2 linked regions of the Caenorhabditis elegans genome follow. The protein of the gene in region 1 purifies or fractionates together with the protein of each later gene. This does not show direct contact. Each region holds a gene or a part of one and is shown on either strand. Other genes may lie near its edges.

Evidence for each region.
Region 2: the proteins of mec-4 (region 1) and mec-2 purify together in Caenorhabditis elegans (affinity purification with western blotting; 4 studies listed by BioGRID). This does not show direct contact.

The regions. Positions count from the first base shown.
Region 1 is NC_003284.9:16,802,800-16,808,733, reverse strand, and holds mec-4 (Degenerin mec-4), read left to right. Parts: upstream 1-1,618; 5' UTR 1,619-1,619; coding exon 1,620-1,802; intron 1,803-2,162; coding exon 2,163-2,418; intron 2,419-2,465; coding exon 2,466-2,828; intron 2,829-2,880; coding exon 2,881-2,992; intron 2,993-3,208; coding exon 3,209-3,369; intron 3,370-3,466; coding exon 3,467-3,615; intron 3,616-3,662; coding exon 3,663-3,820; intron 3,821-3,862; coding exon 3,863-3,951; intron 3,952-4,044; coding exon 4,045-4,217; intron 4,218-4,268; coding exon 4,269-4,364; intron 4,365-4,487; coding exon 4,488-4,602; intron 4,603-4,646; coding exon 4,647-4,707; intron 4,708-4,764; coding exon 4,765-4,893; intron 4,894-4,941; coding exon 4,942-5,017; intron 5,018-5,156; coding exon 5,157-5,342; 3' UTR 5,343-5,413; downstream 5,414-5,934. Other genes in the region: cas-1 (C-CAP/cofactor C-like domain-containing protein), read left to right, coding at 1-302, 367-573, 785-931, 977-1,057; aak-2 (5'-AMP-activated protein kinase catalytic subunit alpha-2), read right to left, coding at 5,884-5,934.
Region 2 is NC_003284.9:5,573,939-5,578,971, forward strand, and holds the start of mec-2 (Band 7 domain-containing protein), read left to right. Parts: upstream 1-2,030; coding exon 2,031-2,252; intron 2,253-2,308; coding exon 2,309-2,408; intron 2,409-4,007; exon of another isoform or gene 4,008-4,062; intron 4,063-5,033. UniProt on the Caenorhabditis elegans protein: Subunit of an amiloride-sensitive cation channel (degenerin channel complex) permeable for sodium, potassium, lithium and N-methylglucamine, and required for mechanosensory transduction (touch sensitivity).

The sequences.
Region 1 (5,934 bases):
CACCCCCACCACCTCCACCACCACCAGCCGACTTCTTCGCCAACATTGCTCCGCCACCAGTAGATGCTGACAAGGCAAGCCGTGATGCTCTCTTTGCTTCGTTGAACCAGGGAGAGGGAGTTACTTCTAGACTGAAGAAGGTCACGGCCGATATGCAGACTCACAAGAACCCAAACCTCCGAGGAACCGCTGTTGTGCCAGCCGCTGGTGCTTCTCAGGGCGGCTCATCTCCTGCCAAACCAGCTGCTCCAGTAAGGAAGCCACCACACAAGGAGCTGGAAAACGGAAAACAATGGATTGTGGTAAGTGTTTCAACAACTTGAAAAACATATTCAATAAGCATTATCAATGAAAAACTATTTACAGGAGTACTTTGTCAACGATCCAAACATTGTTCTCGATGTTGCCGATAAGAAGCAGACTGTCTATATCTACCGTTGTGAGAATTCTGTGATTAAGGTCAACGGAAAGGCCAATTCTATTACTTTGGACGGGTGCAAGAAAACGTCTGTTGTGTTTGATGCCCTTGTGGCTCAGTGCGAAACTGTCAACTGCCAATCTGTGCAAATTCAGGTAATCAGAAGACTTTTAGTTGTACAAGCTTCAATACAAGCTCAAATACAATACTATTTTTTTTCCGTCTGAACATAAAATTAGTTTCTAAATAAAAAATGTGAAAATAAATATTTGGTTTTAATCGTTAAAATCTTCCAAATTACTAATAAAGTTCAGTCAACTATATGCTTCGAAATTCACTGAATCTATTATTGTTATTAATTTTTAGACCCTTGGAGAGCTCCCAACTCTTTCAATCCAGAAGACTGATGGATGCCAGGTGTACTTGTCAAAGGTGGCTCAAGGATGCGAGATTGTCACTTCCAAATCCAGTGAGATGAACATCTCCGTGCAAACCAATGATGATGGGGATTATGTAAGTTTTTCGGATTGTAGAACCCAATCTAAATTTCCTTTTCAGTCGGAGTTCCCGGTTCCGGAGCAGTTCAAGACAACTTTTGTCAATGGCAAGCTAGTCACTGTCGTCTCGGACATTTGCTAAATCTTCTCACGTCATAACCTTATTTTTCAACTTCATGAACTATCCCCTCGAACTTTTTTATTTGTCCCTGTCTACAATTCTTTATAAGCAATTGAGACACACTTTGCTTTATTAAATAATACCGATTTTGTTTTGTATATGCATTGACTGGTGCTCAACTATTTTTATTGAAAAAATTACTTTTTACTGTCTCGTCGAATAAAAGTGATCCCTTCCAAAAAATAGTTATTCATGTTTGAAGGTTTGTGATCGTAGAACAATTGCACCGAATGTAGTGTAAAAAAAATTCCAGAATGTTCAAATACATTTCCACCCTCACCAGAACATCTCAAACACCAGGCACATTTCAACACACTTTCATGGATCTTATCTTGCCTCAAAACCATCAGCTTTCTTCTCATTCTACAAGTATGAAACAATCTACTATTCTATACATTTATAATGTAATGGAACCATGTGAAGACATGAGCAAGATCATTGTCGTCAGCGACTACCCCTCCTTCATTTTTCTTAGAGTATCAGTTTGCTAATGCTATTTTTTTTATCGCTATCAAGTTATAGAATGTCATGGATGCAAAACCTGAAAAACTACCAACACCTTCGGGACCCATCCGAGTACATGTCCCAGGTTTATGGAGACCCGTTAGCGTACTTACAAGAGACGACTAAATTTGTGACAGAAAGAGAATATTATGAAGATTTTGGTTATGGCGAATGTTTCAACTCTACAGAATCAGAAGTACAAGTGAGTTTACGTAATTTTCAAATTGCAACGGTAAATTTTATTTTTGTATGCAATTGTATTTTGTTCCCAGTTTTTGAAATATTCGTTATATACATTGAAGTTTTTCAACTGTAAATTTGAAGGCCCGTATTTTCTTAATTCTTCGATAAGTATTTTGTCTTTATAACTACTAAGTTTTTGCTGAATCAACTTGTTTATTTTACTTTGATAGCTTATCTGCAAAACTGTACCAAAATTAAAAACCAAGATTTTTTGTTTTGGAACAATATAATCAAAACGCTTAAAATGTTCAATAAACGGTAAAAAAAATAAAACTTGCAAAAAGTCGCAGCTGAGTAATCTAACATTTCCGAATTTCAGTGTGAACTTATTACGGGAGAATTCGATCCAAAATTGCTACCCTATGACAAACGTCTAGCCTGGCATTTCAAAGAGTTTTGCTACAAAACATCTGCTCACGGAATTCCCATGATTGGTGAAGCTCCAAACGTATATTATCGAGCAGTTTGGGTCGTACTTTTTCTTGGATGTATGATAATGCTCTATCTTAATGCTCAATCTGTGCTTGACAAATACAACAGGAATGAGAAAATTGTCGATATTCAATTGAAATTTGGTAGTTTGAAAAATCATGTGCTCCTTACTGAGCTTTTTTATTTCCAGACACTGCACCTTTTCCAGCAATTACGCTTTGTAATTTGAATCCTTACAAAGCAAGTTTAGCAACAAGCGTGGATTTAGTAAAGCGAACGTTGTCAGCATTTGATGGAGCAATGGGAAAAGCCGGAGGAAACAAAGATCACGAAGAGGAACGCGAAGTTGTCACCGAACCACCCACCACCCCTGCACCCACCACAAAACCGGCACGTCGTCGAGGAAAACGTGATTTATCTGGAGCATTTTTTGAGCCAGGATTTGCAAGATGCCTTTGTGGAAGCCAAGGGTCTAGTGAGCAAGAGGATAAGGATGAGGAGAAGGAGGAAGAGTTACTTGAAACAACTACCAAAAAGGTATTTAATATTAATGGTGAGTGTTGCATGTCAAATGAGCATCGCGTAAAACATTCTTTTGAACACAGATGCCGATGAGGAATGGGATGGAATGGAAGAATATGACAATGAGCATTATGAGAATTACGATGTGGAAGCAACTACTGGAATGAATATGATGGAAGAATGTCAATCAGAGAGGTAAAGTCTAGTCTAACAACTTTGACAAAAAAGTGTTTGAAAAAGTCTAGTCTTACAATTTTGAGGTACGGTAAAGTTTGTCCATTTTGATAAGTCCAATTTTTGAGAAGGCTCAATTTTGCCTTCCATAAATTTGAAATTCATATGGTTCCAAAATACAGAAGTTCATAATGAGACGTTTCGAAATGTTCTCCACAAATCTTTTTTCTCGTTCAGAACAAAATTCGACGAGCCGACGGGATTTGACGATCGGTGTATTTGCGCTTTCGATAGATCAACTCATGATGCGTGGCCCTGTTTTCTGAACGGAACCTGGGAAACCACCGAATGTGATACTTGCAATGAACATGCTTTCTGCACCAAAGATAACAAAACTGGTAGGTTTTTCAATCACTTTGCCAAACTAGCTTCACTTGTTTGATTTTACTCTTCTTAATTTTTATTGTTGTTTTTTTCTAAATCGGAATTTTTCAGCGAAGGGCCATAGATCCCCATGTATTTGTGCTCCATCTAGATTCTGTGTAGCATACAACGGAAAGACGCCACCAATTGAAATTTGGACATATCTTCAAGGAGGAACTCCAACTGAAGATCCAAACTTCCTTGAAGCTATGGGATTTCAGGTAACAATCACAAATATATAAATCAAGTGGAAACTGAAAAGTTTCAGGGAATGACAGATGAAGTTGCAATTGTCACTAAAGCCAAGGAAAACATCATGTTTGCAATGGCTACCTTGTCAATGCAAGATAGGGAACGGCTAAGTACTACAAAAAGGGAACTTGTCCACAAGTGCTCGTTTAACGGAAAAGCGTGTGATATCGAAGCGTTAGTTAGGCTTTCAGATATGATATAAATTCAATTATTCAGAGATTTTCTGACTCATATTGACCCTGCGTTTGGTTCGTGCTTTACCTTCAATCATAATCGAACAGTAAACTTGACTAGTATTCGAGCAGGTTAGTTTCCTCAAAATTTTTTCCACATATTTTTTTCTAAAATAATTTTTGAAGTCCGTTATGTATAAACCAAAAAACGTGTTCCGATTCCAGGTCCCATGTACGGATTACGTATGCTGGTTTATGTAAACGCGTCTGACTATATGCCAACCACGGAAGCCACAGGCGTTCGTTTGACTATTCATGACAAAGAAGATTTCCCATTTCCTGATACGTTCGGTTATTCTGCTCCAACTGGATATGTATCCTCATTTGGATTACGATTGGTATTAGAAATTCAAACTCTTTTTATAGAGTAATGGTGTTGTTGTTTTCAGCGAAAGATGTCACGTTTGCCAGCACCTTATGGAGATTGTGTGCCAGATGGCAAAACATCGGACTATATTTACAGCAATTATGAATATTCGGTAGAGGTGAATAGTAAACAGAATTTAAGCAAGTTTAGTAGGAAAAATGGGTCATAGAAACTTTGTGATTCTTGTTAAAATAGCAATTAAATATAGAACTTAATATGATAACAGAGGGAACTATTCCAGGGCTGCTACCGTTCTTGCTTCCAACAACTCGTGCTGAAAGAGTGCAGATGTGGAGATCCACGTTTCCCAGTCCCTGAAAATGCACGGCATTGCGATGCAGCAGACCCTATTGCAAGTTAGTTTCAAATTTGACATCTCCATAAATATTTTTTTCTGCAGGAAAATGTCTTGACGCCAGAATGAATGACTTGGGAGGCCTACACGGATCTTTCCGTTGCAGGTAACTTTTGAATTGTTATATACTTTTTAAATAAAAAACTGCAATTTCAATTTTAAGATGCCAACAACCATGCCGCCAGTCAATCTACTCCGTTACATACTCGCCGGCAAAGTGGCCGTCGTTATCTTTGCAAATTCAACTAGGATCGTGTAATGGTACAGCGGTAGAGTGTAATAAGCATTATAAGTAAGTTAATTCAAGAAAAAACACACTTTAAAATTGGGCCTATTTGAGAGAGAACGGAGCAATGGTGGAAGTGTTCTACGAGCAGTTGAATTTTGAAATGCTCACTGAATCAGAGGCTTATGGGGTGAGTTGAAAAATTTAGGCAAAGAACGTGTATCAAAGAAATGTATCAAAAAAATTCGAAAAAATGCCGAATTACTACTAGCGAGCAGGCAAAAAAAAATTTATTTTTATTCCAAAAAATTTATCTCAACTATTTCTAGTTTGTCAACTTGCTAGCCGATTTTGGTGGACAACTCGGTCTTTGGTGCGGAATATCCTTCCTTACCTGTTGCGAATTTGTGTTCCTTTTCTTGGAAACTGCCTACATGAGTGCCGAACATAACTACTCTCTGTACAAAAAGAAGAAGGCTGAGAAGGCAAAGAAAATTGCGTCTGGATCTTTCTGAATTTGTTTTTTCTTGTTTTAAAGTTACCATTGCAATGTTGTGTCTTAAAATAAAAATTTACATGAGAATAATTGAATAATTTTGGGTAGGAAATTATTCAATTAATATTTTACTTACAATAGACACAAAGAAGTAGGAGAAGGGGAGTTTAAAAGACAGAAAAAAAAACTACTGAAGAGAAACATATAAAAAACAGAAACAATCACTCGCTGAAGGAAAATCTATTCACAGAAACAAAGGGGGTGACAAGTCAAGTCATAACTTTAAATAATTATTTGTATGGTTACTTGTCAAAATTGGCTGAAAATGAAAGCGGCACTAGAATAGCATCAATTAAAATACGTGGCATTTACGGAGGTGAAGGGGGGAGGGGCAAAACCAAACAGAGTCAAGAAAAAAAATACAAAGATACTGTAAGCTGCAACAAAGTGAACCAATATAAGAAACGGGGGTTTCAAGCTTAATACAAGGAATGGAAGAAATAAATTTTGAGACAGAAAAGTTGAATTTTACACAGAGCATTGTTGGCATCAAGGAGTGCTTAACGAGCCAGTGTTCCAATCAATGCGGCGCAAATCTCAAAGAATTGCAT
Region 2 (5,033 bases), about 11 Mb from region 1:
TTACACTCTTACTTTTAATGCAGAGTAAGCTTCTGCTATTCTTGATTGCGTGATGGCCATAGAAGTCGCTTTCGAGGCAAAGTCGGAAATCTGTGTGTTGAGAAGAAAAGGAAGAATGAGTTAATGAGGGCTAGGAAAAGTGAGACGAGAGCTCGAAATTCCTGAGAGCACCTAAAAGCGTCCACCCAAAGAGTGTTAACGTTATGTTTCCCATTTTGCAAAATTGTCAGATACTTCAAGTACTTTCAACTTTTTCAATAAGCCCCCGCAACGACAAGGTTGATTCAATTGGTGTGCATCCTTTTTTCATAACACATACACACATGAAATACATCTTCCATACGTTATGTGTATTTGCAAAAAAAACGCTTCACACCGGAATGACACGTTTCCGCACTCTCAGTTAGCAACAACTGGAGTGTGTTCAAAACAAAAAAAAACGAGAATTCGCAACCAATCTGAAGATGAAAACGGCTAGTTCAAATGGCTTTGTGCATTCGTCATAGTTGTTTCTCAAAACACTCCCAATGGTTTTATGATACTTAAAAATATAATGAAAAAATCTCAAGTTTCACATAATCCATCTTTGTGTCTTTTTTCGAAAGTTATTCTTGACGATGGCGTGGGAAACATATAAACAATACAACAAGAAGTCAGAAGGAGGAGGATATAGTCAGGAGGAGGAGGAGTGAAAAAGAGCATTTAATGAAAATGCAGTGAATCGTAAAGGACTAGATGTTGTAAATTGTGTGTCTAGTTTAATTTTTTACACGAGGAATTCATGAATAAGAAATATAATACAAAGTAAGAAATATGGAAAATTCGAACTAACAAAAAAGGGTATACTGACAATTTTGATAACAGTTGTCAAAAAAGGACCATATGCAAAAAAATACGTTTCGTAAATAGTTGTTTGTTTTGAAAATAGGGGTTATTAAAATGTTATGGCTAAATATCATAGTAAAACAAACTTATACTCTAAAATTAAAACAAAACATTTCTTCGATACATTTTATTTCTATCTTTATTTTGAATTGAGTTTTGGAAATTGTGGAAATTAAGCTGTATGTTTATTTTTGGGTTTTTTAAACTTTAAAATTTATTTTCCATTTTCCGCCTTCAATCCAATCATACATTTATATTTTAGAACACATTTTTAAAAGTAGGTCGTATCATCCAAAAATGTATCAAATTTTTTAAAACCATTTTTTGTTGCAAATTTAAAAATCATAAAGAATTTGGATAATTGCATAATCATTTTTTAAAGAGTTTTTTACAGCACTCTGTCCCTTTGACCCATTTTCTTTAATTTCATACAACCTAAAATTATCATAGTTTTCCCCAAGAGGTAACATTGAAAGTTAGGAATTTTCATAAACAAATTGCGTTAACGTGAGGAATCTGATAAGAAACGTGGACTACTTTTAATTACAAATTTAGAGAGTGTTGAGAGTTTCAGAAGAGTTACAGAAGAGTTATTTCAGCCACCATTATGTATCTCATGATTAAATGTATTTCTAATAATAGTTATTTAAAACTATATCATTTGAAATTAATTTACGGCTTCGAAGCGTTTCGATTTTCAAGAAAATTTTCAGCTTCCCAGGTTTCCCGTTCACTGTTTCCATTCGCCTTTTCCCGCCTGACCTTTTTCCCAAGAAACTACTATTCTAAAGTCCGACCTAACATATGCATATAAGTCCTACTATTCAAGTTTCTGGCAACTTCAAGATCCCAAAACGAAAATGTTCTCGAAACTCTTGCATTACAATGGACAAGTCACGCCAGAGACAATAGGCTAGTAGCAAGTTCTTCGCTGCACTGTTACCCCTAACTGTTTTCTTTGCATTTGTAATCAGGGACGTCATATACCAATTGGAGCAGAGTCGTCTTCTTTTTGGGGTGTGAGCCCGGCTTGCTCAACGAAATCCATACATTCGAGAGTACATCCCACTATTCGCCGAGTGTTTATGTGTCATTCGTGAATCGTGTCCCAGTAGTCTGTGACTGAATGCCCACACATTCAATCTATGAGCGCCACAATGTCATCAGCTCGCAATTCGGTCGTTTCACTATCTTCAAACGGCTCTGTCAAGGTCGAGACTCGATTGGTTAGCAACGAACGGAGCTCTAGTATTCAACAGGAGGGCGCCATGCTCCCATCATCCAGCTCCAAAGACGATGATCTCTTATCAACGTCATCGGACGAAGTTGAGAATATGGCGACCAGGACTTTACAGCAACTTGAAGAGGTGTGTGTCTATTAAATTTTTTGGTTTCCGGATTATCGTATTTGTTTCCGCTGTAGAGTACATCAATCATCTCGGCCAACAGCGACGATGACTCGGTGAAAAAAGAAAAGCAAGCTGAAAAGGATGTGGAGAAAGGAAATGGAAAAGAGGAAAAAGGTAGAAACTACAATCTTTGTCACTTATTTGATTGAATTAGTCATACATATGTAGAAACTCGTGCTTTCATTTGTTAAGTGACAACTTTAAGGTTCAAAATGCTGCTTTACTCTAAAAAAATGTTCGAAATTGTTTAAAATTGTGACACGCTGTTGTTAAAGCTTTAACAACTTATTCAATTATTTAAATTTCTGAAAACTGATGTAAAATACAGTATTTTATTGGGTCATATCTTAGTTGTCCTTTGTTATATCTTTGAAAAAAAGTCAAATGACGAATGCTGTGTTGTTTCTATTTTCATTGTTCTGTAGTTAATCATTTAGTGGTATTCTCACAATGAACCTAAATTTAATTTTTCAAAATAAAACAGTGAAGTGCAATACAAATAGAGGAAATGCGGTTAGCCGACAAGTAATGCTTAAATGTAATTCGAGTTAACCTTGGTACCGATTTGTCTCACAAGTTTCTGGTTATATATACTTCGGTAATATTCTTTATCATTTAAACGTTTGAATGCGCCAGTGGAATTGTGAAATACTACTGGTAAATAAAAACCAACCAAATATAATAATAAAACGTTTCAGTTTTTGAAAATGTTTTATAGACAGTCAAAAAGTGGCGATTTCTGAGTTCATGCTACATTTTGAAAATGCTAAAAATCCCTTGTTTGGCGAGACCCAAGCGCCTACATAGAATACGGCAAAGTTTCTCACCTTTCGACTTCTACATAATATGAAAATTCATTATTTTTAACAGTCAAGTTCAACACAGGCTGGCTCATAATTTTCAATGATCCTGTTTTTTTCTGATCTCTATTTCTTGTCGTATACATGTCGTCGTGCTTCGCCAATTCTCATGATGAAATTCAATAACAAATTCTGATTACTAGTTGTAACACCTCCAATTCTGGTTTTCCTTTGTTTTTTTTCTTGTAGCAAGTTGAGTTGTTTGATATAACTGAGTTCTTAAATCTTATAAACGAAAATTAAGAAATCAGTACTAATAACTAGAAACTATATATTGAAGAAATTGGAGATGTTGTAACATTACGCGTTTGTCGTTCCTACAAAACAAAAAAAATAGCAACAGACTTTCTTAAGCTTAAGGCTTAAGGTGAATTAACAATTAACTACGTTGAACTCAACGATTCTCGAATCTGGTTGAAAACAGCAAATTTACCGACTCATTAATAGTAATTGAATATCAGTACGATTGTTTACTACTTATAAAAAATGGCAGCACCGGTTAGACGTTCCTTTTAAGTGTCATTCTTTCAAATTATCGTGAACTTCCCTTTTATTATCCTGCTCGCACCGGTGTTTTCCACATATTTTCGCAGTTTTCAGTTTTTAGTATTTCCCAGCGTTCCAGCTCACCACGAGGTACCCGACTGACGACAAAAATAATAGACATATTTAGCAGATAAGCAGTCGCTAAGTAAATGAGAATTCTACTTGTTTGTTTCGTCTTCTGTCTGTTCCCGAACCCCTCCCTGTCAGGAGTTTATGTCTGAAAGTAGTTTACGCACCTCATTTTTCTTTCTCGCTTTCATAAGCCAGATGTATATTGCCTCTGGAAAATAGCCTCTCTTTCGGGCCTCGGTTATTTGTATGTTTTTCAACTTAGTCGGTTTTTGTCGCGGGACTCTTTTTTTCCTGTTCCCTTTTTCTGAAAGTTTGGGTGTTGTTTGAAGAAAAAATATAAATAAAAAACAAACGGTGTTCTTGACATATCATTTTGAATATTATGCACGTTCTCGGTCTGCCTTTATTTTTAAAATATTTTTGGCGGCTGTTTTGTAACAAAATTCAGTTTTTATTTTCTTTAGCACAAAATTAAAAAATAACCCGTTCAAAAAGATTGACTTTAAGAATTCTGAGAAAAGACAAATTATTTTTAAGTTTTTTATTGTTCCTGTCGTCGAAGTAAGGCATAACAAAAATCTCATTTTAGAAACGATGTTTTTCACATTTTTTGTTTTGTTAAAGTTTTCTACAAGAAAAGTAATTTGGAAGAGTGAAAGAGTTTATCACAGTAGAGAACACTGCAACCAAAAAAAGCAACAAAAACATAGTCAGAAGAAGTTAGTCACACTATGAGCTTCGTCTTCTTAAACAAAAATTTTCGGTTCGAAGAATTTAAGCATTCCCTCTTAAATTTTTACGCTTTCTCTAGTTGTTCAATGTTTACTCTGAGTGCAATCATCGAGAAAACGTAATTTTCTCTCTTTTTTGGCCTTTATGTCTGAAAAATCTTTAATTAAACATAAAAGTGCTTTCGTCCTATTCTTTCTTGATTCCACACAATGGAATTAGGCATGAAGCAGATATGCAACATTGGTGTGGTTTTAAAGTCTACCTGCTCTTTTTTCGTTTTCTCAACACAACCAATTTAGGCCATTCGTTATAAATGCAAATCTCTAAATTTCGAAATTTCAGTAAAAAAGCAATGCTTTCTCAGAAAACGTTTGTTTCTCAAAATGGAAAATGGCTTCACAGTTAACCCCATAAGTTGCCAATAGTTTTCCTCATATATTTTCCTAAACTTTTTTTTTCAGTAGTTCCTCAAAATAAGCATACATCAAATTATCAAAACACGATTAAAACATTTTATGTAGAAAAAATT